2 linked regions of the Rhinolophus ferrumequinum genome follow. The protein of the gene in region 2 binds, or shares a complex with, the protein of the main gene of each other region. Links are inferred from orthologs where the notes say so. Each region holds a gene or a part of one and is shown on either strand. Other genes may lie near its edges. The genes, in order: DR1 and YEATS2.

Evidence for each region.
Region 1: YEATS2 (region 2) and DR1 share a complex: the UniProt entries of both Homo sapiens proteins name them as parts of the ADA2A-containing complex. The link is inferred for Rhinolophus ferrumequinum from reciprocal best matches to the Homo sapiens genes YEATS2 and DR1.

Annotation. Positions count from the first base shown.
Region 1 is NC_046292.1:70,524,812-70,537,275, reverse strand, and holds the start of DR1 (protein Dr1), read right to left. Parts: upstream 5,239-12,464; 5' UTR 4,516-5,238; coding exon 4,296-4,515; intron 1-4,295. UniProt on the Homo sapiens protein: The association of the DR1/DRAP1 heterodimer with TBP results in a functional repression of both activated and basal transcription of class II genes.
Region 2 is NC_046285.1:61,255,422-61,268,022, forward strand, and holds the start of YEATS2 (YEATS domain-containing protein 2), read right to left. Parts: upstream 5,798-12,601; 5' UTR 5,595-5,797; intron 5,419-5,594; exon of another isoform or gene 5,351-5,418; intron 5,216-5,350; exon of another isoform or gene 5,019-5,215; intron 1-5,018. UniProt on the Homo sapiens protein: Chromatin reader component of the ATAC complex, a complex with histone acetyltransferase activity on histones H3 and H4. YEATS2 specifically recognizes and binds histone H3 crotonylated at 'Lys-27' (H3K27cr).

The sequences.
Region 1 (12,464 bases), on a different chromosome or scaffold from region 2:
TGTTTGTTTGTTGAGGGAAGGGGGGGTGGTGTAGTTCACTTAAAATCCATTAAGAGGATGTCAGCCAAAGTAATTTCTTGGCTCATCAACCTGGCAAGGTATCTGAATGAAGACCCTTAAGAACCATATTTTCTATGGTATCACTACTTCCGGCAATCTGGGACAATGAGAGACTGACAGCAGAACAGGAATCAAGTATCATTCATCTTTATATCCTTGGCAGTATCCAGCACAACGCCAAGAACATAAGAACATAGCAGTATTCAAAAGTAATTGTTGGGTGGCAAAAGAAAAACAAAAAAAATCTCAATTTTAAGGAAAATAATAAAATCCTAACTTGAAAAGCATTGATTACGTGATAAATTGTGCAATGCACATTATATATCTCTTTGGGAAAAATATCAGTATGGATGATTATTTAGGCAATACAATATCATTCTCATTCTCATTATTATTACAATTTCTCTGAAATCACTAAGATCCTCTGATTTCAAAACTACTTCACATCCACTTTCCAAAATAGACGGTGGTTTAGGCTTTAGAGCAAAACTACTCAAAGTATGGTCCATAGACTTGTGCCAGAATTGCTTGTAATGGTCTGTGATGAGTTAAATATGGAAATTCAAAGTACCCATTTAAGAACCTTCATAGCAAAACAGTAACTACATGAGGTGTTAACTAACCTTATTGTGGTAATCATTTCAGGATATATACATACATTAAATCATTACATTGTACAACTTAAACTTATACAATGTTATATATCAATTACATCTCAAAGTTGGGGGGAAAAAGAAATTTCATGGCAATTTGAAAGAGTAATTTTATGTCTATTGAATCTAATAACAAAAATTGAACTTTTATTTGTATCTTCTCTTCTTGTTTTCCTAGTGATCCATTTTCACTGTATTTTACAAAAGTACTAGTGTGAGAGGGACTAGAATTTTTAAAAAGGCACTCAACATAAATAGCTTGGAGCAATTCAATTGCTGAAGCAAATCCTCAGAAGACTTCTTAAAACTTTCACTACTTTCAGTTACTATTCTCATAAATGTGAAAAAAAAAATGAAGCAAGAGATTAAAAATGCAGAAAGAAAGTATCACTTAAAATATTATTATTTATACTTTAGCTTTACAAAAGGCATCATGACATAAGGTTAAACATAACAGACTGTCAGCTTTATGTTTTAATCAGTACTACTGTAAAATTTTTTTAAATTATTATTTACTACAGCATTATTTCATGTAAGGTTCTCAACTCTGACTGATTCTCAATAATTGCAAGTTATACCTGAAACCATTAAGTATTATTTATACACAAATGGGGAAACATTTAACAGATTTACCTAAGGTGAAAGACTTTCCAGAGTAGAACTTGCAGCTCTTGACTCTCAATGTCAATTCTTTCCATAATGTAACAGAACATGTTAGAACTCATTGAAGAATATGTGTTCACAGAAACCAGCAATGGAATAAAAAGAACACTTTAGAAACCCCTCTATTTGTGTATTTGTGATCTTCAATACCAAGTCTACTTTCTTAAACTCAAAATAAGCAAGACATTAAGAAAAAAAATTTTTTAAATCTAAGTCATAGTATTTCACAGATTTAATGGCAATGAAATTACTTCAACTGTAATTTGAATTTTACAGAACTGCTTCAAATGCTTACTTTGCTCTGATGAGGTAAAGTGGCAAGTGAACAAATGTCCTAAAGCGAAATCTAGTTCATTAAACTTACTACTTAAAACTGCAAACTTCAACAAGTGAGACTCATATCACTTTAAAATATACATTATTATTCCACTTGGATATATCCTACATTCCTACCGTGTTTCCCTGAAAATAAGAACTAGCCAGGCCATCAGCTCTAATGTGTCTTTTGGAGTAAAAATTAATATAAGACCCGGTCTTATTTTAACATAAGACTGGGTCTATAATAAATATAATATAGTACAATAATATAATAAAATTAATATAATATAATACTAGGTCTTATATTAATTTTTTCCTCCAAATGACGCATGAGAGCTGATGATCCAGCTAGGTCTTGTTTTCGGGGAAACAGGTAAATAATCAATGCTGACAGGAAGTGTAAAAAATGTCATATCTACCATGATTTACTAGCTTTCCAGAGTTAGTCTGTAAAAACACTTTAAACACCTAAAATATACAGACATGAAAAATTTCTTTAAAAAATTTTTAACCACTCAAGACAAAAAAAAATCTTTAAAATAATTAAGCAATATGAGAGTAATATGAGATTATGTGTATGCATAAAATCTATTCCCCTAACGGGAAAATTTGGGGCAAAAATGGTAGGTCTTCATCCACTTAATATCAATACTACAAGAAAAAAAGGTAAATTTATTAGACTATAACAGGTCAATACATGATTTTTTAAAATTAATAAATCATACTTAGTACACAAAGGAAAATGCTTTCACTGGAACTTTCCTAGTTGTTAAACTGAATTTAGCATATTCCAAAGTTGAGGCATTTAGCATACTGCTTGCTACAGCTGCACTTTTATTCCATCATGTCAATCAGAAATCTAAATATATCCTAGAAAAGAATAAACTCTACCCAAGAAGACAGATTGTATGTGTTATTAGATTTTTGGAATGATACCCACTTCTGTGGTGTAAACAAATGTTTAGGCAGATCCTTTAGAAATCTTTTGCAATTTGCAGTAAAAGGCAATGTTGATAAAAGATCCTTTTTCTTTTTTATGAGTTGTAAAAGGAAATTATAGCTATCTGTGTTGGATAATCTTGAGAAAGACTTATGACAACAATTGAACATATAACGTGAAAATAAAAAAACACCACAGGAAAAATAGACAACTTGGCTTTCATTTTACTTGCCAGGGTATGCAGCATACCAAACAAGTAGAAAAAAATGGTAGCTTTAAAATTAAACATGCTTTTTCCTAGGGGCTTATTTTTTTCCTTATGTACTGAAATGGAAATGGCAGAGTATAATTTATATCTGCCTTCCACACATCATTCAAGATCAAAAATGAATCATTTAATCCTTCCGTCAATATTGACAGTAAAATATTGGATATGGTGAATATGAGCAGATGTATTCTCTACTTCAGAATAACAGGAAAGTCAGCTTTTAAAAAGTTAAGTTATAAAAATCAAATGGTAGACAACCACCAGCCTACTCAAATGATTAAAATTAACCATGATTTTTTTCTGACTTCAAAAGCAATCAAGAAATTGATAGATTTTTAATTGGATTATTATAAAAGGCAAGTTATAACCTCAAATTGAGTGCAATTTTTTCATAATGGTGTATGTGCTTCCCGAAATATTGTGACTAGTAAATATGTCTCCCCATCCTTGAAACACACCATCAGAATACGGTCTCCCAAATCCCTATTACTGAACTAAATCCTTTCCAAAGATAGAAAAAAACTGTTGCAACTTTCAGAAGTGCTGTTCAATAAAAGCTTGAGTGTGAACATCTAAATGGGAATGGGGGCAGGAAAGAACAGGGAAATGTTCCATGAAAAACACCTCTTACAATCTCTTAAACCAGGCTTTAAAAATTTATCTCCATAGAACAAAGGGAGCTACACAGAAGAAAAAGAGAAAGAAGGATGGGAGAGAGGGGAAAAGAAAAGGACATTCACCCTTTTCTTACAGAATAGAACTGGAGTGCTTTGGTAACTTGTGGATGAACGGTTGGACCATTAAACCATTTTTAACGCAGAAAATAGACTCTACTCAACACCAACAAACTTGAAAACGTTGAACACACTCCTGTTAAAGTTTTTTTTTTACTCAGGTGGTCAGAAAACTCATCTTGTTCTCTACATTGGTGAAGAGATCGGGTGCGGAAGGGGTGCTGTCTCTGTTCATACTTGAATTTCCTGTCTGAATTTTAATTTTCCAAGGGAGTACTTTTGGATTCCTTTCTCAGATGTTCTGATCTACGTTTCAATTTCTCAGTTGTCATGTATAGGTTCCTCTTTAGGCAGGCAAAATCCTTGTTGCTTCGGCTTACCTGGCTGTAAATTGAAACGACTGCTAATACTTTACCTTTGGGGGATGTTAGCTGACCTAAATGCTCGCAATCCTTACTTGTATTGGCTGGTGAAAAGTACCACGAGCATACTACATAGGAATTTGTTGAAGGCACCCGCTGCCTCCATGCCCGCGTGGCTTTTTCATTTTCCAGTACTGATCAGAGGAGAGGAATGAAGGCTTTGACATGAATGAGTCACGCGACTAGCAGGCTGTCCCCGGACCTTCACTTAAACAAAATCCCACACGTAACACTTACCTTGTATGACATGCTCTGGCGAGATGGTCTTCTTTTCAGATTTGTTGCAAATCTCATTGGCTTCAGAAGATATAAGGTGAATGAATTCAGTACAGCAGTTCACCACCAGCTCCCGGGCATCGTTGGCCACCCGGACATTGGGGAGAGTCTCTTTGATCATCTTATTGATAGCAGCTCTGGGTATAGTGAGATCATCATCGTTGCCAGATGAGGAAGCCATCGTATCTTCCTATGTCTCTCGCCCCGACTTTTAAGAACTCCCCAGTTCTGGTCCACTACTCCACAAAGATTTTTCAAAAGGCCGCCCTCGGAGAGTGATCCCGGGGGCTCTACGAGAAGAGGGGGCAGAAAATGAAGGGGGGGCGAGGGTTGGCACCAGAGGGCAGGGAACACAGCGTGTGTCAGTCAGATTTAGGGCGAGGTTCGGAGGAAAGTCGCGGGGCTGAGAATTCTGCCCCAGGGCGGGCAGGAAAAGAAAGGTGGTCAGGAAATTTGAACACCAGGGAACACCTTCGTGTCTCCTCAGAGGGGCGGGCGCTGTCGCCCAACCGGTCCCCAAAGGTGCCGGAGCAGCGGCAAGGTTCAGGGACACTGGCCTCGCTGAGGTATACTGGGCGGACACCCAGTGGGCTTGGCTCTACAGAGCCGGAGCCCCAGCTGCCGCCGCCGCAGCCGCCAGCAGCCGTTGCCGCCGCCTCAGCCAAACCATCCTTCAGACACCCACGCCGCTGCCTCACAACATGTCGGCCGCGGCCGCTGCTGGAACTTGGGCGGCCGCCTGGGAACGAATACGGACAGGGCCAGACACAAGGGAAGCAGCACTGGCGGCCGCCGCGGTCGTTTAGCCCGAACGCTGATCGTGGAAGCCGAAGCCGCGGCAACGGTGGTCCCTCCAGAGGCCAGGGAAGAAGGTTTGTGGGAAGCTTCTCCCGACACCCTTTGCGCTACCGGAAGCTTCACCCCCCCTCCCTCCTTCCCCACCGAGTTCCGGGTGTGGCTATTGCCCTTCCCCCACCCGCGCCAGCAGGAACCTCCCGGCCCCGCGGCCCCCCGCTTCCGCCAGCCGCGGTCCTGGCACGCGCCCGGGCATCCCCCCCCTCCTTCATGGGGACCGTAGCAGGGCGAGCGCGCGCCCCACAGTACCGGAGAACCCCGAGTACGTGCTCGCTCTGGGCTGCGGCGCCAGACTCGGGATGGAGTGGGTGGGTGCGCCGGCGAGGTTGGATCGCCTCTACGGTCTCAACCAGCTGAGGCTTCGAAAGCCTTTCCCAGCTATGTTCAGGGACAAAGGAATGCTGGCTTTTATTAAAAGAACTCTCTTTGCTGTTCCTTAAAGGAGCCCGAACTGGGCTAGAAGAGGAACGAGGTCTGGGCTCGGGAATAGGATATGAGAAAATCAGAAGCCGGTGTTCCTGTGTCTGCACAGTCCGGAGGAAAACCTTTTGATACCTAATAGACGTTATTCGGATCAAAGCTCTTTTTGGTCCTCCACCCAGTTTCTCGTTTTATGAGAAACAAAACATGCTGAGAAGTGACATGACCTCCCAGTCACTACTAATGGCTAAACCGGAAACGAGAAATAAGATCCAACGTAGTGGAAATGCGTAGCATTAAGAGGTTCCAACTTAGCAATTTTTCATGGTGTATTGCACGTTGCCTTCTGAAGAAACGGGGGGGGGGGGCGGTGGGGAGACGGGGGAGGGGGGGAGTATGTTACAGTGTCTTAAGCAGCTCTGATTTTTGCTCTCCAGGGTAACTAGTAACATCAACGTGTGTCAAGTTCTTCATAAAAATTGCACTATTTTTTAAAAAGCTAAGTTTTTCATACTGTCATTTGTTAGAAGAGTCTGTGTTATAAATGGTTGTTGCAATTTCTAAAAAGTAAACGAGATACCATTTAAATCTGTTTTGGCACTTTAGTTAATCAAATACATTGTTCTTGATACATTGGACAGCAACTGGCTTGTTTGAAATGTACTCTTAAAACGTTTTATTTAAGAAAGACCCTAGATATTTTTTTTCATTTAGCATTTTCTCCAGCACACTTGCCAGTTCTTTCATTTCTGAAGTGCAGACGCTGGGTTTTCAATGCAATTAAGTTTAGCCAAACCAAAACTTCTTTGATAAAACAATGTATTTGACAATTTTCTTCAAAATAAGAATGTGAAACTGTTGGCTCAGTTGTTGGCCCTTTATGAAGTGTTTATGTAAGTCAGTTTACAAGACTGTTGGTTTCAAGAGTTACTATGCTGTCTAAATTCATCTTGGCCTCACCAAGTTTATCCGACTGAAAAAAGCTAGCAAACATGTCCCCAGTTATCACATTTGTCACTGACCCAAATCTTGTCATTCCTGAAAAAATAATTTTGCTTTTTTATGTAACGTTTATACAATGTAGAACAATAGGCTTATGATACATACGTACATCTGAAGAGCACACATGTTATTCCAGTAATAGTTTATTACTACAGGGTTCTGTGGTAGCATAAGCATGAAATGTGTAGTAGAGACCTAGGTTCCAGTCCCAGTTTTTTGTTACTTTAGACAGGTCACTCTCCAAGCCCCATTTTCTTCAACTAGAAATGGAATTATAACTCAGGATTCAAAGTCAAATGAGACCATATGTAAAAGCGCTTTTAACATTATGCAGTATTTAGATGTTGGTGTTTATTATTATCTTTATCAGGTCTGAGCGGTCTTCAACTATTAATAAACCATACATAATATGGCTGAGAGAAAATTTAACTAAATATAAATCGTGTGGCACATGAAATATGCTAATCTGGATCCCACAGTTATTTACAGTACAATAGATCCTTATTATAAATAGGCTTTTGAAAAGAAGGATAACAATGAGCTTTAAGACTTTTAGTGCATATATATGAAACATTATTTTTCTCATGGTATTCCAAAATTCATGATATGAAAAGAAACAGCTGTTTTGTATGGTGAATTAGGCTAACTCTACAGTAGTTATCTTAAAATGTGTTAATTCATAGATGCCTGGATTTTCAGCTAAAATTACAATCTATAACGTTTGTAATTTGAAGCTTTACATTTTAAAAAAGCAAATAATGCTATCCTTTGTGCTAATTTGTCATTGCTAACACACCAATGGCTAGTTGTTGGTAATACAAATTTAAAAAATATCATGTGTTACATGCTTCTTTTGTGATTGGCACTGTGCTAAGTACTTTTACCTAAGTACTTTTACCTTTATCATTTCATTTAATCCTCAGAACAACCTTATCTTATAGATACTGTTTCAGTCTCCATTTTACAGATAAAGAAAGTGAAGCTGGGAGAAGCTAAATAACTTCCCTGAAGTCAGTATAGCAATTGGGATAGGCTAAATTATGTTGCAAGAATCTCAAAAGGTTTATTTTCTTGCTCATTTTCTGGGTTCATCCTGAGTCAGCAAGAGGACTTACCACACAGTAATCACTCAAGAATCCATTGGAACTGTTAAAAGGAAGTAATGAAGGAGCCTTGAAATACAGGCTTTTGACAGGTGGAGAAAGAGGAAAAAAGTATTTGTGTTCAAAGTAATGATACGAAGTTGTGTAGACAGAAATGGTGAGAACAGTAAAGAGATCACTTTAATTGAAGTAAAGCATTTTTGTTTAGTGAGAGAGAGCCAAACACATGAGGCAGCAGAAGTCGTGAGGTAATAGAAGCTGAGAACTAGAGAGGGAGAAGAGAGAGAACTCACTTGTAAAAAGGGCAGTAGAAGCAGGGGCAGAAGTTTTAGGCTTCAAATAATTATGTCAGAAAGACCAACAAAATAAATGGATCGCTAGAATGTTGGTGTACTCTTTTGAAAGAGACAATACGCCTCCATGAAACAGTTTTCTGTGCTTCTTTCTGTGCATCTTCATAATACTCTGCTAAAAATTCCATTTTTATTCTTTACAACTTGAGAGAGCCCAACTCATTCAATATCTTTGGCTTCAGATCTGGGTTTGATTCCCATTCTGCCACTTAACTAACTTGGGCAGGGTATTTAAGCTGTATCTTGATTTTTCTCCTCTATAAAATAAGAATACATGCTTCACAGATGTTTTAAATCTCAAATGAAATAATATATGCAAAGCATTTAGGCCAGAATTTTAATGCTAAATAAATAGTGGTAGTTGCTAAAAAATAATCATTACACTGATGATTATTACTGCTAGGAATGGAATAATGGGATTGAAAAGAAAGGTGATTCCAAGAACTATTTCACAGCAAGAGTTGGAAGAACCTGATAGTTTGGCTCTTAGATAGTCAAGGAAACAGACTAATCAAATATAAGATTTTTAGCCTCAGAAACTGGAATTAGGGTAGTGTCAAAAACAGCAATATTGAACGGGAGCTTTAGAGGAGAAGTGCTTGCTTTTGGACATGTTTTGATTTGAGGCAATAGTAGGCATTTAAGGAAATGATATCTTGGAGGCAGTAGAAAGGGAAGACAGCATCTGATTCCTACATTCATTCAACACCTGAGTGTCTACTGTCCTAAGTATGGTACAGGAGAGAGAAAGATAAATATAACATCCTTCTTGTATTCAAGGACCCCACAACCTATTGGGAGAATCACAGTATAAAACAGATTGAAATAAAATACTGTGATAAACATGTAAGCTAAGAGTGTGCAGAGGAAGGAGAAATTCACAAACCACTTGTGAGGTACAGAGGGCTTTAGAGAGGACTCAACATTTTAACTGAGCCTTGTGGATTGAGTAGAATTTTGATAGAAAAGGAGAGAGTGTGCAGCTGAAGAAGAAACACAAAAGTACATCGTATAACTTGGAAAAATCAAGTAACCTAGAGAAACTTCCCATTTAACCTTGTTTCTCTAGTTCCCTGTTACAGTGCCTGGCACACAGGAGACCCATTAAGTAAATGGGTAAATGAGTAAACAGTTTCTGCTTCATCATGAGAACATACTCAGGCTGACTTGCTGGAAGAATGTGAGAGACAATGGAAAAGAACAAAGCCCTTTCTAGACCTGATGACAGACAGCTGGTCCCAACATGAGTGTTCAGCCAAACTTAGTAGAGCCACTTACCCAACCCACAGCTGACTCAGAAAATGAGTAAACCCAGCTAATTCCAGAAGAGTTGCCCAACTGAAAATGCACAGACTCCTAGGAAATAATAAATGGTTATTGATTTACTCCACTGACCCTTGAGGGGCTTGTTAGGCAGCATTTTTGTAGCAATAAATGACTGGTACAATACCTGTGAGTTAGGTTTCACCTGTGGATCATGAACTTAAGAGCTTTGCTAGCCGAACAAAAGATTTAAAATCCAGCAATTGCTTGAATGAGTCCCACTGTGAATGTGAAGAATGGAAATATTTATAAAACAGTAGAGATAAAATTTGTCACTACTTGCTAATATTTTACAGTTAGTATAAGATATTTTAAAACCTAGGCTAATTTAAATTTTTTAAAAATACCTTTAACAAAAAAAAAAATCAAAAGTAAAATCACCAATACCTCTCTTTTCCAACACACCTATGCTAATTTTTGCATGTTTCTATTCAGCCTTACCCATGTGTATGTGTATTTTCATATAGTTCTAATAACAGTGTTGTATTTTGCTTTAATATAAAAGGAAAAGTACCAGCTGGGACCAGCTGTCTGGCCTAGAAAGGGCTTTGTTCTTTTCCATGGTCTCTCACAGTCTTCCAGCAGGTCAGCCTGAGTATGTTCTCATGATGAAGCAGAAACTGTTTACTCATTTACCCATTTACTTAATGGGTCTCCTGTGTGCCAGGCACTGTAACAGGAAACTAGAGAAACAAGGTTAAATGGGAAGTTTCCCTTTCCATTGAGGAGCTTATCATCTAATGGGAGAGACAGGCAAGTAAACCAGAGACCATAGTGCAGTATGCTAAGTGCCATGATTGTGGCGTGACAGGCCCTATGGGTACAGTGGAGGACCTTCCAAATAAAAATGGTTAAGTATGGAGTGACAGTCTTACGTGTCACAGAGGAGGTAATCCTTGAGCAAGTTTTCAGGAGGAAGGGGAAGGAAATTTCATGTAGGAGAACAGCAAAATCTCAGTGAGACAGAACGTCATGGCATTCATGGTGAAGTGCAATATTTTGGTGAAGGGTGGAGGGAAAGGAACATGAAGGAGCAGCATGAGAGAAAGCTACTCAGGGAAGTGTAGTAGTTAAGATTCTTCTGATTGCAACTAACAACTCCAGCTAGTTGACTTTACCAGAAGGATATTGGGGTATCTTATAGAATTTGGGGAATTGTTGTATAACCAGGGAAATTCAGTAGCCGGAATCCATAAAATGCCCTCTTGGCGGGTTGTAAACAATTCCCATCTCTTTGCATCTTGGTTCAAAATGTCAGTTTCCCAGGAGAGCAAATCTGTTTGGTGGTTTGGGTCAGATTTCTACTCCCATGTCACTCAGCCATGACTGACTGCAAGTTATGTGTGTGGCTCTTTGCTGCTTTTCCGCCCCTGTGCTGGGGAGGGAGCTGTCACTGTGAGCTGTGTGGCTAGTCTAAGAGGTTTCTGTTGTGTTTTATTATTTAGTTACCTTTCCCCACATGTGCAATGACAAAAATGCTGCCAACCTATGTGATCCAGTCATTCTAGTACAACAGCCCCTGCACTTGCTCTCTTTCTACGCCCAAAGGTACATCCAACTAGTGGAAGGAACATCTTGGGGGTATTGATCTTGTAGTTCTGATCTCTGGATGTAAAATACCTATTTTTCTTCCAGTTATGGCACAGTCATATCTAGGTGTGGTTCCTCGTGGTCTTGTAAGCGAAGAACTAAATGGTAAGTATAATTACTATCAGTACACTCTATAAATAATTGCTGGGGCCAGCGGTTGCAGTGGTTGCTACAGAAATAAAGAATAAGAAAACAGTTATAGTTCTTGTTTTCATAAAGCAAAAAAACAGGGTAATTTTTCAGTCATCCCGCAATATGTATGCAGACTTTTAATTCCTGCTACTGTTAATGAGGTTGTAACTGGTAAATATGACGACCCATTCCAAGTTTCCTTGTTTGCAGCTAATACGGCAGCTGACTGAGGATGCTGCCTGCCAGGGTGATTTAAGCCTTCATTTCTAGAGGTCTAAGCCCTTGGTAATCATCAGCATCAATTGTGTCAAACTAAACAAAGGCAATGCAACAGATTGGAGAATGACCCTGAGGTGGAATGACTGGGAACTCATCAATATTTGTTCAATAACTGGTTTCTGTTTTATAGATGAAGCTGAAGCACTGAGAGTTTAGAATAACTCTCTGCCTATTCCTACACTCTGTCATTAAGTGACAGAGTCAGGATTTAAACCCGTACTACCTGTCTCCAGAATGAACCTTCTACGTAGTTATGTCACACTGTCTCTGCACATTCAGTGTGGAGCCTGAGTGGAGGCACTGGGCCTCCACACCCAAGATTAATTTGTTTTAGCTCTTCATCTGTAACTAGCCTTGTCACCAAAAACAAGTACTTATTTTTTTCTAAGTTTCAGTTCTCCCCCGCCCACTCCAGTTCAAGCCGTTGTTTCTCAGTCTAGTTGTGTAGGACACAACTCCCTAGCTCATACTGGTATTATGAGCCTTGCGCTCCCCCGGGCTGTGGCAGTTGGTTGCCGGTCATCGGTAGGTTGCTCACAGAGGCTCTCAGAGCCGTTATGCTCCAACCACCTGAGCCACTGGGCCGGCCCATAAGTTTCAGTCTTTTCATTTATACAATGGAGATACTCTTTTGGCATGGCACAATGCCTATAATTTGATAAGTAGATTTGTTAAATGTTGACTATTATTATTAATTCAGTGAAAATGTACTGAGCCTACCATGGTAGGCACTATATGTACGCTGATAGGCATAATTCCTCTGCTCATGGATCTCTCAACAAACTGAACCACAGAATAAAAATAGCAATGTGTGGGCCACACATCTGCCTCCCTCACCTTGGATTATGAATACCAAGACTGACATGTGGGAACATAACAATGATTGTGAACTGAAGAGGACAGATAAGGACAGAAAACAAACCTGGGACAATCAAACGTAAAGGGAGCAAGACAAGAAACGGGTGAAATCATGAAAACTCCCAAGAGAAAGAGTATCGCCTGGTTTTCTTAAGCCTAGCATGTAAGTCTGGATTTTACAAGAAAAGTGGAGGGAATTGATCAAGAGATTCTTG
Region 2 (12,601 bases):
CACAATAACTATAGCACTTGACCTTGAAAAAGACCTCAGGTTTGCTGTGGAAGTGGGCACTGAGGTTGCAGCTTGTGAGTTACGGTCAAGTGGTAAAGGAGGGTAATCTAAAATCAACACCAGACGTGGATGGGTGTGGCGCATAACACAGCAGTAAACTGAGGTTGCTGGGGGATGTTTGAGGTGTAGCCTGTGTGCGGCTTGGCTTGTGTATCCCTTCCATGGTTCAGTTCAGCAGGGTACAGTTTCCTGTATCCATAGTTTCTTGCAGACGAAATCACGTGTAAGCAAATGTGAACTTCATATTATACGCAAATAGTTCCCTAATATATCAAATGCATTGGAACAAGTTTGTGTTTTCCTATAGCAAAACTGATTGGCTGTAATGCAACCACTGTACGGCTGTAATGCAACCATTAAAAAGAAATGTGCCGATATAGAAATACCTCTAAAATAAATTGTCAAGTGAGAAAAAACCCAAGGTGCAGAACAGTGTGTATACTTTGATTCCTTCTTTTGTAAACGAGAGGAAAAAGAGACAAAAGAAATGCTTGGTATGTGCTTAAGTTTTTCTAGAAGATAAATAAGAAAAAAACAACAATAACTGCCTCTGGGTAATGGTTCTGCCTTTTTTTTTTTCAGTATGTGACTTTGATTGCATCTTTAAAATATCACAAAAGAGTCTGAGGAATCATTTGACACCTTGGTGTTTCTGTAGCTGGATAGCTTAGATCTTAGTCATCAGCCTGCTGAACTATTCCTTTTTCAGAAACAGGTATCATCCAAAATTATTGATATCCTTGCTTTTAACTGCTATGGCTTGTTGAATCAAAGAAGCTGAATTTGATACAAGTTCAATATCGTTTCCTTCAAGAATTAACTCAACTTTCTGGGTTTGAGATACTGAACAAGCAACACATGACCTTATTTGAACCATGCAGATGTACTTTTCACCCAAGAAATTTCGGATTTCAACAGAACCATTCTCCTGAATAACGACATTGATGGAGAAGTGAGCACACGCAGACCGCATCTTGTATTGGAAGCCCAATGTAACCCTCGATCGTGTTCTGCACGTGACAGGTAGTGTGAACAGGAGTCAGTTCCTTCCTATGTCCCCACCATTGTCACCGGAGCCTCTTCTTTTCTTTCCAGGGAGACTGAGTTCTACGTGGATATGATCGAAGTCCCTCCACAGGGTGCCTCTGGGGCCCTTCACAGTAACTGTGGTCCCTTCAGAGTGACGGCCACGTTTTCTGGGACGTCCAGTCTGACTGCTGAGAATGGTCTGCATCCTCACAGTAGATGCAGCGAAGAGTCTGCCTTTCATTTTTCTTCCTGACTATGACGTTTGATTTATTTTACCATGTACATGAATTATTTTGAGGAAAATGCCAAAAGGACTAATCTGGAAGACAGATTACAGGTGTCTTTACGTCTCTGTTCTCTTCTTACTTCTCTATATGTTACAAAGAACACAATTACGGAGAGTGTGGAATAACTGGAACTCTCATGCACTACTGGTTGGAACGTAAAATGGGATAATCATTTTGGAAAACAGTTTGGCAGTTTTTTTTAAGACCTTAGACATACCCTATCATATGACCTAGCCATTCCAATCCTAGGTATTTACCCAAGAGAAATGGGTAAACAATATTCTATTGTATGGATATATCACAATTTATCTATTGACCTATTAATGGACATTTAGATTGTTTACAAAAGCATTTGTCTATACAAAACTTGTACATAAATGTTCACAAACAGGCAAATCCACAGACACAAAAAGTAGTTGCCAGGGGTGAGGGGAGGGCGGCAGCAACTGAGACTGATAACTGCTAATAGATATGGGGTCTCTTTCTAGGGTGATGGAAAAGTTGCGCAATTAGATAGTAATGATGGCTGCACAACCTCTGAATATACTAAAACCCACCAAATTATACCCAATAAAATGGTGAATTCTACAGTATATGAATTGTATCTCAATAGAAGTACATGTATACTCTAAAATAAACTAATTTTTCCAAATAGATAAAAATCACCAATGTCTCCGTAACTCTGGCTCACTCTTCAGATAAACAGAATAAACAATCCTTGCCTAGGAAAACTAGTTCTACTTCTCTTCGTCTGCAGTCATCAAAGCTCACATGCCTGAACACCTCATGTTTACCTTCCAATGGGTTCATATTTCACCTCTACTTTCTCTCCACTTAGTAAAATGCTCTTCATCCTTAAAGAATCAAATTAAATTCCAACTCATCCATGAAGTGCACTCCGGCCTTCAAAAACTCTTTTTTCTAACCCCCACAGAACTGATGATACAGAAACAATCTGCTTCACAAGTCTTGTCTTCTACGAGGAAAAAGTGCATCATCCCTCACCCTCCACTTGGCAGCTGTGTAGAAAACAGAACGAAAGGTTTAAAGGCAGGGAGATGGGGGACAATTTAAGGAAGTGACAATGAAGATTCAAATAAAAATCTCTGGTCGAATGAGGTCAAGTATTTCCAAGAATGAGATCAAGTATTTCTGAGAATCTACGCGTATCCTACGGAAATACTCTCGAGGCAGGGTGATGGACACACACGTGGGCTATATTCACAGATCTACAACTTAAGTGTTACATTTTATACATTTTATAATAAGAAACTGGCAACAGTCCATAGCAAATTATAGTGCATCCACTGACTACGAAGGCACTTTATTATGTGAGGACATGATCTTGCATGTAGAGAAAACCCTAAACATTCCACAAAAAAATTGTTAGAACTAATAAGTGAATTCAGCAAAGTAGCAGAATACAAAGTCAAATGAACAATATCAAAAGGAAATCACAGAAATAATTTCATTTATAATAGCATCAGAAAGAATGAAATACTTAGGGATTAACTTAACCAAGGAGGTAAAAGATTAGTACAATGAAAACTACTAAACACTGCTGAAAGAAATTAAAGACTTAAATAAATGGAAACACAACTCATGTTCATGGATTAGAAAATTTAATATTGTTAAAATGTCAATACTACCCATAGCCATCCACTGATTCAGTACAATCCCTATCAAAATCCCAATGACATTTTCTGCAAAAATAGAAAACCTATCCTAAAATTCATATAGAACAGTGGCTGCCAGGGGCTGGGGGGAAAGAAGGGAATAGGGAATTATTGTTTAATGGGTGCAGAGTTTAGTTTTACATGATGAAAAATGTTATAGACATGAATGGTGGTGATGGTTGCACAATGTTACGAATGTATTTAATACACTTAAAAATGATTAAGGTGGTAAATTTCATGTTATGTGTATTTCACCACAATCTAAAAAAAAGTATACATAAGAGTTAAATGATAAGTACATTTTTTTCCATTATCGACCACATCCTTCCTGATGGAGCACATGTAATAAGTGCATTTATTCGGGGGTAGGGGGAGGTGACATAAGGGAGGAAATTCTGCAAACACTATGTCAAGCTACATATTTTTAAAACCTAAAGAGCTCTTAACAATAAATTAGAAAATGACCAACAAAAAGATGCAAAGGACAGGAACAGAAATTCACAAATGGCCGATAAATGTGGAAAAATCTTCAACCATATTAGTAATCAAGGAATGGAAAAATTAAACAAGACACCATTTTTTATCTATCAAATTTAGTTTGGGGGCAGATGAAATAGGTGTCTTGAAGGCGGTCTTTTTTCTAATTCACACTCACTGTCTTCATTTCCTCAATCCCGTTCAATTATTCCAATGTGGTTTCCACTTTAGACCTCTGGATAGTTAAGTACTACCAATGACCAAAACCAGCAACCTCCATGATTTCAAATCCAACTGAGCATCTTACTAAACATCTTAGAAACACTGATAAGAGGACCAACTCTCCATCTTCCAGACACTTACCTCTCTTGGCTTCCGTGACACCAGTCTCCTGCTTTTCCCCCTAACTCACTCTTTCTTTCTGTCCTATGCTCAATCTTCCTCTACCAGACCTCAAAGTATTGGAGTGCCTGAGACTTGATTTTCACTTATTTATACTCTTCCCCTGTGTGATATCATATAGTTTCATAAATGGGAATATCATCCATATAACTGAGTACATACTCCCAAATTTTTATCTCCAGCTCTAGTCTCTCTTCTGTGAGTTCCAAACCTGTACATCCAACTGCCTCGTCAACATAACAACTTCAAAACTAATATGCGCCTCAAATTTAATACATCCAAAACAAAACTAATGATTTTTCCCACCTTGAAGTTCTCTCTTCCATTCTTCTCAGTAAATGCCATCGTCTACTCACAGTTGCTCAAAAACAAATACTGAAAAGCAAAGACTTCTTCCTTTCCCTAACCAATCCATTTATTCCAAGTCTTGTTCATTCTTCCTCAAAAATGTTTTTTAATCTTTCCATTGCCATGGACCTAGTTCAAGATACTGCAAACAGCATCCTAACTGGTCTCCCAGTTTCCACTTTTGCCCTCTTCTGTCAGATTATGCTCCTTACCTATTAATACTCAAAATCTTCAAAGGATTCCCATAGAAACCAGATTCCTAACCAGGGCATCATCTGCTCCTATCTTTGAAAGAATATACACAGCCAAAAATATACACTCAATGATAGTATCTGTAGACAGGAAAACTATGGGTACTTTTTCTCGTTTTGCTTGTCTGTAGTTTTAAATTTTCCCATGATGAATACTTGCTACTTGGTTGTTAAGAAAGAGGAAATGATATTGCTGAACACTATTTGTTACATCGCATTTTTACATGCTAAGGAGAAAAGGGAATGGAAAATTGTAGGTAATCTCTAACTGTAACTGTTACAAGCTTAGATGAAACTACTAGCAAACATATCGACTCTAAACATGATGTGCCAAGGCTGTAGGATTACTGGTGATATTTTCCTTCTCTACTTTCTATTTTTGAATGTAAGTACATTCGTAACAGAAAACAAATATTATGATATAAACCTCATTGTCTTCTGCAATCTGGCCACAACCCACCAAACCAGCCTTTCTTCCAAGTACTCACTGTCCCATGCTTTCCACTCCAACCCCGCACTGTCTCACACCTCCGCTGCTTTAACTTGGGCACCATCCCTGGAATATCCTCCGACGTTTCTAAATCCTACTCATCCTTCACGCGGGAGGAGGACGGCTAGGATGGCGACAGGTTGGAGGGAGATTCCAGGATTCTTGTTGGTAAATCCACAACTTGCTGGTCCTGGGGCCAAATCTCACCACTAATCCCATCACAGGCCACCAAGCTTATCATCCTGAAACCTCCGGCCACTGGAGCTCAAGGAACCCCCATCCCTCAAAAAGCGCTGCGCCCCTTAGAAAAGGAGTCCCCCCTAGACATACCCAAATTCCGGGTTCCCCCTTCGGACACTTCCCGGACATACACACTCAGCCTGGATCCAGCCTCCCCCCCAGATCCTCTCCCCTCCGCAGTCATCCGCCCCTCCCTCCGCTCCGCAACCCGGGCCGCGCGGCCGGAGGGGTGGGGGAGGGGCGCGCACGTGCCCGCGCCGCCCCCGCCCAGACAAAGCCCGGGAGAGCGGAGCGCGCACCCGGCCGGTCCCATCCAGCTCCCGCCAACACTCACCCTTTCCCTGGTCTCCGGCTGAAGCGCAGGCCGCGCAGGGGGAGAGCACCGCGGAGGGGAGGGAGCGGGCGAAGCCCTGCAGAGCAGCCCCACCACGAAGCTCCAGCGACCCCGGAGCCCGCGGAAGCACACAGCTCAGTGCAGCCCGCTCGGCCCTGCACGTCACCACTAGGGGCGGGACGGGGTGCGCGCAGCGGTGGCGGCGGCGCGCGGGCGCGCGACCCGGGGGCGGAGCTCGCAGAAATGTGGGCGGGAGCGGGCGGGAGGGGCGGAGAGGGGGGCTGGCCCTGGCCCACGTTCTGACCCTGGCCGGCGCTGCCGCTCCTCGTGGGGTGTCTGGGGATCGGTTCTGGCAGAGTCACTGTCATTTATCCTTTTCCTCCCTAGAAGGAAATGACGCAGCCCAATCCCAAGTTTGACAGAATATTCTGCCGGCATTTGTGAAGCTTTTACAGTACAGTAATAACAGCAGTAGCTATGATTTTTGTGTCATCTCGTACCAAGCTTTGTGCCTAAGTAGTAGAGACACAGATAACTATAGGTATTGCCAACCTACTTTACAGATGCAGAAACTGAGGCTCAGAAAGGTTGGAACTTACCTATGTCACACAACTAGTCAGTGACAATCCATCAAGTCCAGGTTTCCTCTTAAATATCTTAAGTCCACACTTTCCTTTCCCTCTCCTGTACCACCCTGCCCCAGACCCCTTCATCTCTCTTCCCAAGACTACTCTGGTCTCCCAGCTGGTCTCCAGGGATCTGATTCTGTCCCCCTTCAATCTGTTCTCCTGTGTAAAGATTTTACCTTTGGAGCTGGGTGGTAGGTTTAGAGGGGGTACACTTTGTAATTGTTTTATACTTTACATATATGTTATTAAGTTTTTCGATGTATATAATGTTTACTAAAAATATTTTAAGGGATTTACTCCTTTATCTCCAATAGCAAGCCCAGTGCATTGCACATAGCATGAGCTCAAAAAGTATTTGTTGAATGAATGAATAGTACGGCCAGGAACTGACTCCAAAACCCTGCAATATAAGGGAATAGAATATAATATGTCACCCCAGCCTTCTGACCTTAACGTCTACTCCTGACCTTAAGGGTAAATGAGATTGATAATATTTGTTCAGCAAATTTTTGCTGCATTTCTATTCTGTGTTTTGGCACTGTGTCAAGACTGCGTCAGGCACTGAAAATCAGAAATGAACAAAACAGTTCATTTTAGTCAATCTAATGTGAAAGTCTAGGAAAGGCCTCCTTGAGCCTTAGGCTAAGACCCAAAGAGAAAATAGGAATTGGGAGATAACAATACTTTTACTGGAGAAAGACGTAGGGTAAGAGGTCAGCAGGAGTGTGTCAGTGTTCCTCTACTTTGGGGTCTAACCCTGAGGCAGGGGCATAGAAGTATCCAGCTAAGTGGGGGGGGGGGAAGAGGGGGAGGAGGGAGTGTTAGAAGCCCACTTCCTTTGGCCTAGCTTGAAAGGCTGCCCATTTCTGGCAGAAGGTTCCCATTGAGCAGGACTTGGGAACAGAGAGCAGCACTGGGAAGAGAGAGGAGTCAAAAAATGCGGCATGGTGTCCACAATTTGCACCTGGTGTGCCAGAAAACCAGCCTTCTCTGCATGCTCCCTGCCAGACAAATAGACAGAGCCATGGACAGGCCAATGGGCGCTGTGCCAGGTACCAGGTGATGACCAGAGGCAGTGGAGGGAGGACTCATTGGCAGGGAATGGCTGGAGAATGGAGCTAAGACCCCAAGGATAGAACGAGCTGAAGTGCTCCCAAGTCAGCTGGGGAGAGGAGAAGGGATGGAGGTGTGGGAGCGGGGAAGGTGAGACATTAGATTCTCAAAGTGCCGTAGCAACAGATGATGAGCTTGCCAGCCAGCAACCTCAGCAGCTGATGCCAGCAGGGCCATAGTGACCAGGCGTGACCAGGGAGGCCAGTGAGGACCCAGGCTACAGCTCACAGTTCTGTACCCCTCCTGCCACTGCCTTGGAGCTTCCCTTGGATCCCACAGGCCATCTTGGGAAGTCAAGAGGGGAGAGGTGAAAGTTCTGACAGGACTGCAACTGTGCATTGACGAAATAGTTACCCTAAATGAGACTGTTTAAGATCAATTAACTGTTTTTTCTCTCTTGGAAATTTTATCCGTTCTGGGGACAGGGAAGCAGGCAGCCCCTGCCTCCTGCTGAGGGTGTCACAAGCCCTCCCTGTCTTCCTTGCCATTGATGGGGAGGTTCCCATGTTCGAAGGAAGCCAGGAAGGCCTTGAGCTTGAGCGGGGTACGGAGGGTGCCATGTAGGTGGAGAGCGAGGGGAAAGAATCCAAGCAACGGGGGCCAGGACCTGGTGATTCAGCAGCAAGTCGAGCAGGTTGTAGTCTGCAAAGGAGACCTGGTTGCCCATGATGAAGGCCTGGTCCCCCTGGTTCGAGGACAACAGGGTCTCAAAAGACTTCAGGCGCGGGGACAGTTCCTTCACATAGTCCTTGTTGCCCGCTTCATAGTTGGTATAGATGAGGGTGACGTACTTGGAGCGGAGGTCCTCCATGCTGTCATTCACCATGTCCATCAGGGCCACCTCCCGCTGGTCCTTCCCATAGAATCCGAGGGAGACGCTCAGGTGGCTCAGGATGGCATTGGATTGGTACAGGGTGAACTTGGGGAGCTGCCCATACAGACAGGAGGCCTTGAGAGGGCTCCACGGACAGTTCTCCTCAGTCACCAGGTCCTTCTTCCAGCTCTGACCCTGCTCAGACAGCAGCATGCGCCTGGCCTTGCAGCGCCCTTAAACAGGGAAGTAGACAATGGTGTAGGGCCTCTTGGTTGCCGCGTAGACAAAAGTGCTGGCGGCGCTCAAGACCAGATAACTTTCCTTGGCAAGTTTAAGTTTAGCCCAATCCCCAAAGTTGTAGTGATTAGAGCCCATGAGAAATAACATAGCTACCGATTTTTACACATATGCATGCAGTGTTGTACATTTCAACAACAGATAAGCTCTGTGAAGGAAACGGACGGTGCTCAGAAAGCACAGCACAGAGGGACCAAATTTCGTGTGAAGGTAGAAAAGGACTCCCTGAAAAAAATACGAAACGAAACCTGAAGGCAGTAGGAGCTGTTGAGTCACCATAAAGCCTGAGACCAGGTGAGAAGTCCACGGAAACTTAAGCAAGAGCAGAGGGGCTGGGGATGGGGCTGACTTAGGCAGGAGCAAGATCACGCAGGAGGGAAGAGTTTGATCTTTATGGTAAGAACGACAGGAGGCCTTCAAGGGTTTCAAGCCAGAGAGTTAATGTATTCAACTTGCCCTTTAGAAAAAGATCACTTACCCTGGCAAATGGGTGGGGAATGACTGGGAAGGTGTGTGAACAAAGTAGCAGCCAGACAGTTGCAAAGCAATTTGAGTGGCAAAGGTGAATAATGAAGGTGGTTTACACGGGACAGTGGAAATGAAGGGAAATGGATACATTCAATAGTTGCGGAGAAAATGCTGAGAGACTTGGTAATGAACGGGGAGGAGACCAGGGAGGAAAGGAAAGGAGACTGGCCCTGCTAAGTCAAGTGGCACATGAGGAAAAGCCTCCCCATCCTTCAAGCAGACAAAGACCTGTGCTGGGGCACACAGCTCGGCGAGTGGCAGGACGTTGGATTGCAGGCCCCTCCTTGGCCAGGCCTCCTCAGGCATTGTTCACCTGTACAGTCACTAGAGGTGGGGTGTGGGGGTGGGTTGGGGAGTGGAGCAGAGTGGGGGATGGGGTGCGGTGGGGGTGGGGTGGGTGTTAAATGTACAGTGTTAATGAAAGGAAAAGCAACTCATATTAAAGTTAGTCAGGAAGTTTCCAGTAGTGTTGACACTGGCCCAGGAAAAGGAGCCAGTAGTTTGGGGGGTGGTGGTGGGGGAGAACCTATGCTGGCAACTGCTGGCAAACAGCTTCTTGCAGCAGAGAAACAAGGAAAGCCTGAGAAAGGTGGGGAACCCGAAGCTCTGCCTGAGAGGGGGAGGGGAAGCTGGCTCAGATGGAAAACTGTAGTTAAACTGACCAAGCGTTCCCAGGCCCCAGGTATCCCGGACATCCCCCTGGGAAGACCAACCACCCTTCCTAAGATTAACAGGAGTGGGAACTCTGGAGCCCTTAATGTAATGAGGTTCCCCTACCAGGGTGCAGATACTAATTATACATGTAAAATGAGGACCTCACTTATTTACAGCTCCAAGCAAACCATTAATGTAATTAGTGTCTGGGAATTACACTTAGGCAGTTAGAAATAAATCGTTGTCTCCAACTAGGTCCAAACAAGAAGCCAAATGTCTGTTTGTCCTATTCGGATTTTGGCAAAACCAAATTCCACTCTTGCAGATCCTATTGGATCCTACCCTAACCCAAAAGAAGCCATGTATTGTGCTTCTCTGTGTGGATTGCACAGTCACTGTAGAATTACAGTCTTTGGGAATGAGGGTGATGATGCAAGACGTGTTTTCATTCATGGAAAAAAAAGGAGGGGTAGGTGGAATTTGCCCTGAAAGGAAACATTCTATGGCTGGAACTGGTTGGACTCTCTCTTTGTTTTGTATAAAAACGAGGCCTCTAGATACGGAGAACTTGGACCTCTCGTACATTGCTGATGGGAATGTAAAAGCATGTAGCCGCTGTGGCAAACAGCTTGGCAGTTCCTCAAAATGTTAAACACAGAGGTACCACATGACCTAGCAGTTACGCTCCTAGGCAAATACCTCAGAGAAATGAAAGCATATGTCCACACAAAATTTATATAAGAATGTTCATAGCAGAAGCACGTCCCTCAATAAAGTTGTTAAAAATAAAAAGAGAGGCTTCTGGACAGATGCTAAAAATGTCTGAAAATTACTTGTAAAGGTAAGGTAAAGTAAATATAAAATTTCAGCTATAATATGGTGCTGGTGGAATTTGGGCAATGTGAAGAGGAGAATGTATAAAAATAGTTCCACTTAAACTTCCAACTCAAATTTTTAAAGACTGAAGAATTTTGATTTTAATTTGGTTACATATCCTTATATACATTATCAGCTTTTAGGTGCCCAGTTAACACAATACTGGGATATTTTCATTTATTGCTTGTTGTTTGTAAATTAGACTTCCACACTACAGCTCTCTGTTATAAAAGATAAATAATGACACTAGTGCTGAGTGTATTTATAATAGACAGAATTTTTAATATCCTTTCGTTTCCTTGGTGGCATTTACGGTATTATCTTCTGCTAGCTTTTATTGTGATCTCCTGGCTTCAGATTTAAAGCCCCATTTGTTTGAGAACTGCCTCCAAATGCTCTTAGTCAACATTTACAGTCCTGACAGTAAATAGCCTTCATTCCCCAATAAAATAGGCTCCTGGTGGCCTAAACAGCCAAAACAAATAATGTTGCATTTTTCAGGTTTCAAAAATCAAGTAATGTCCAGAGTGCTAGTATTCTGTTGACCCTGATGTTAGAAATCGTATTCGGCCTTCATAATGGGGCACTGAATGGCAGATTTGGGGACGTTGCCCCTGTAATCAATTCTCAGATTCCTTCAATGCAAGTGAACAGGGGATTTTTAGTTGGGAGGGATGAGCAATCTTCTATAAATTGACCTTGGCAGTGAAACATACCACGTGTGTAATAACTTTTAATCTACAAACTCATACTTTGTATGACAATTATGTGTCACCTTCTATGCTTGTAAAATGCCTTGTTCATATGTTCAGAGTAAATCTATCCAGGTTTGGTGTTTCCCAGCTGAGCAGCAATAATGTCAGAACAGCCATAAATGTGCCTGGAACAGAATTATTTACATTATAAAAGGAACAATAGAGGGGAAATGGGCAGAGAATTTTCCCTGCTGCTTTATTTTCTATTCATGGTAGGTAAGACCAAGTAGAGAATTTGAGTACTCAGAGTTTGTGTATAGAATGAATTTGGTTCCTGATGGCCCCAAATGCAGGAAGTCTGTTTTAAAGTCAAAAACAAATCATAATATTGGATGTGATACATGGGAAAGCTTTTTTTGACCCTTAATTGTATTATGCTTATACTATGTTTGTACTATGTTGACCTTAATATTTTGTATAAAAGATTTATTCATGCAACACCATGGGATTAAGAAGCTACACCTCTCCTCTCCTTTTATCACCCCATCTCTCCTCTTCTTATAACTCTCTCCTTTTAGACGTGGCATACATAGCAGTTTGGCAGACTTCACATCCATTCTTTTTTTTTCCCCCTTCCCCCCCCACTCTGAGTCAAGCCATTATTGTTCTCAGTCAGGTTGTGGAGGACGCAGCTCGCTGGCCCATGTGGGAATCGAACTGGTGGCCTCGGTGTTAGGTGCACAGTACTCCAACCACCTGAGCCACCTGGCTGCCCCTTCATAACCATTCTTAACGCTTCCTTCTTTGTCTTCTTCTATTAAAACTGGGAAGTTGAACACTCAATTTCCTGCCCTCTCTTGCAGCCAGGAATGACCAGGTAACCTACTTCTAGCCAAGAAGATGAAATCACGGTTCAACGAATACAAAGAGAGGCTCCCAAAGAAAGTGGAGAGTTGTAGCTAGTCCTGCCTTTGCCCCTCTGTCTCCTTATTCCTACCCTGAATTTGGATGTGCTGCCTGAAGGTACAGCAGGCATCCTTCAACCATGAGACTATAAGCCAACACATTAAAAATGGTGGGGCAGAAAGAAGGCAAGAGCCTGGGCGTTGAATGACACTGTTGAGCCTTTGTATCAGGCCTGGACTGCCAACTTGTTATGTAAGACAAGTATCACTTATGTATTTAAACAACTTGTGTCCAGGCTGTCTGTGGTTTGCAGAAAGCATGTTCCTGTATGACACCCGAGATTTCTTCAGTATGTTTCTTTCCTTGTTCCCCTAACGTCTCTGATACCGTAGTTCTTTCTCAACCTCTATCACAGGCTCCTCTTTCTCTGCCTATGCCTAAATACTGAAGTGTCTATGTCCTCTGTCCTTGGTCTGTTCTCATTTCTTGAACAAT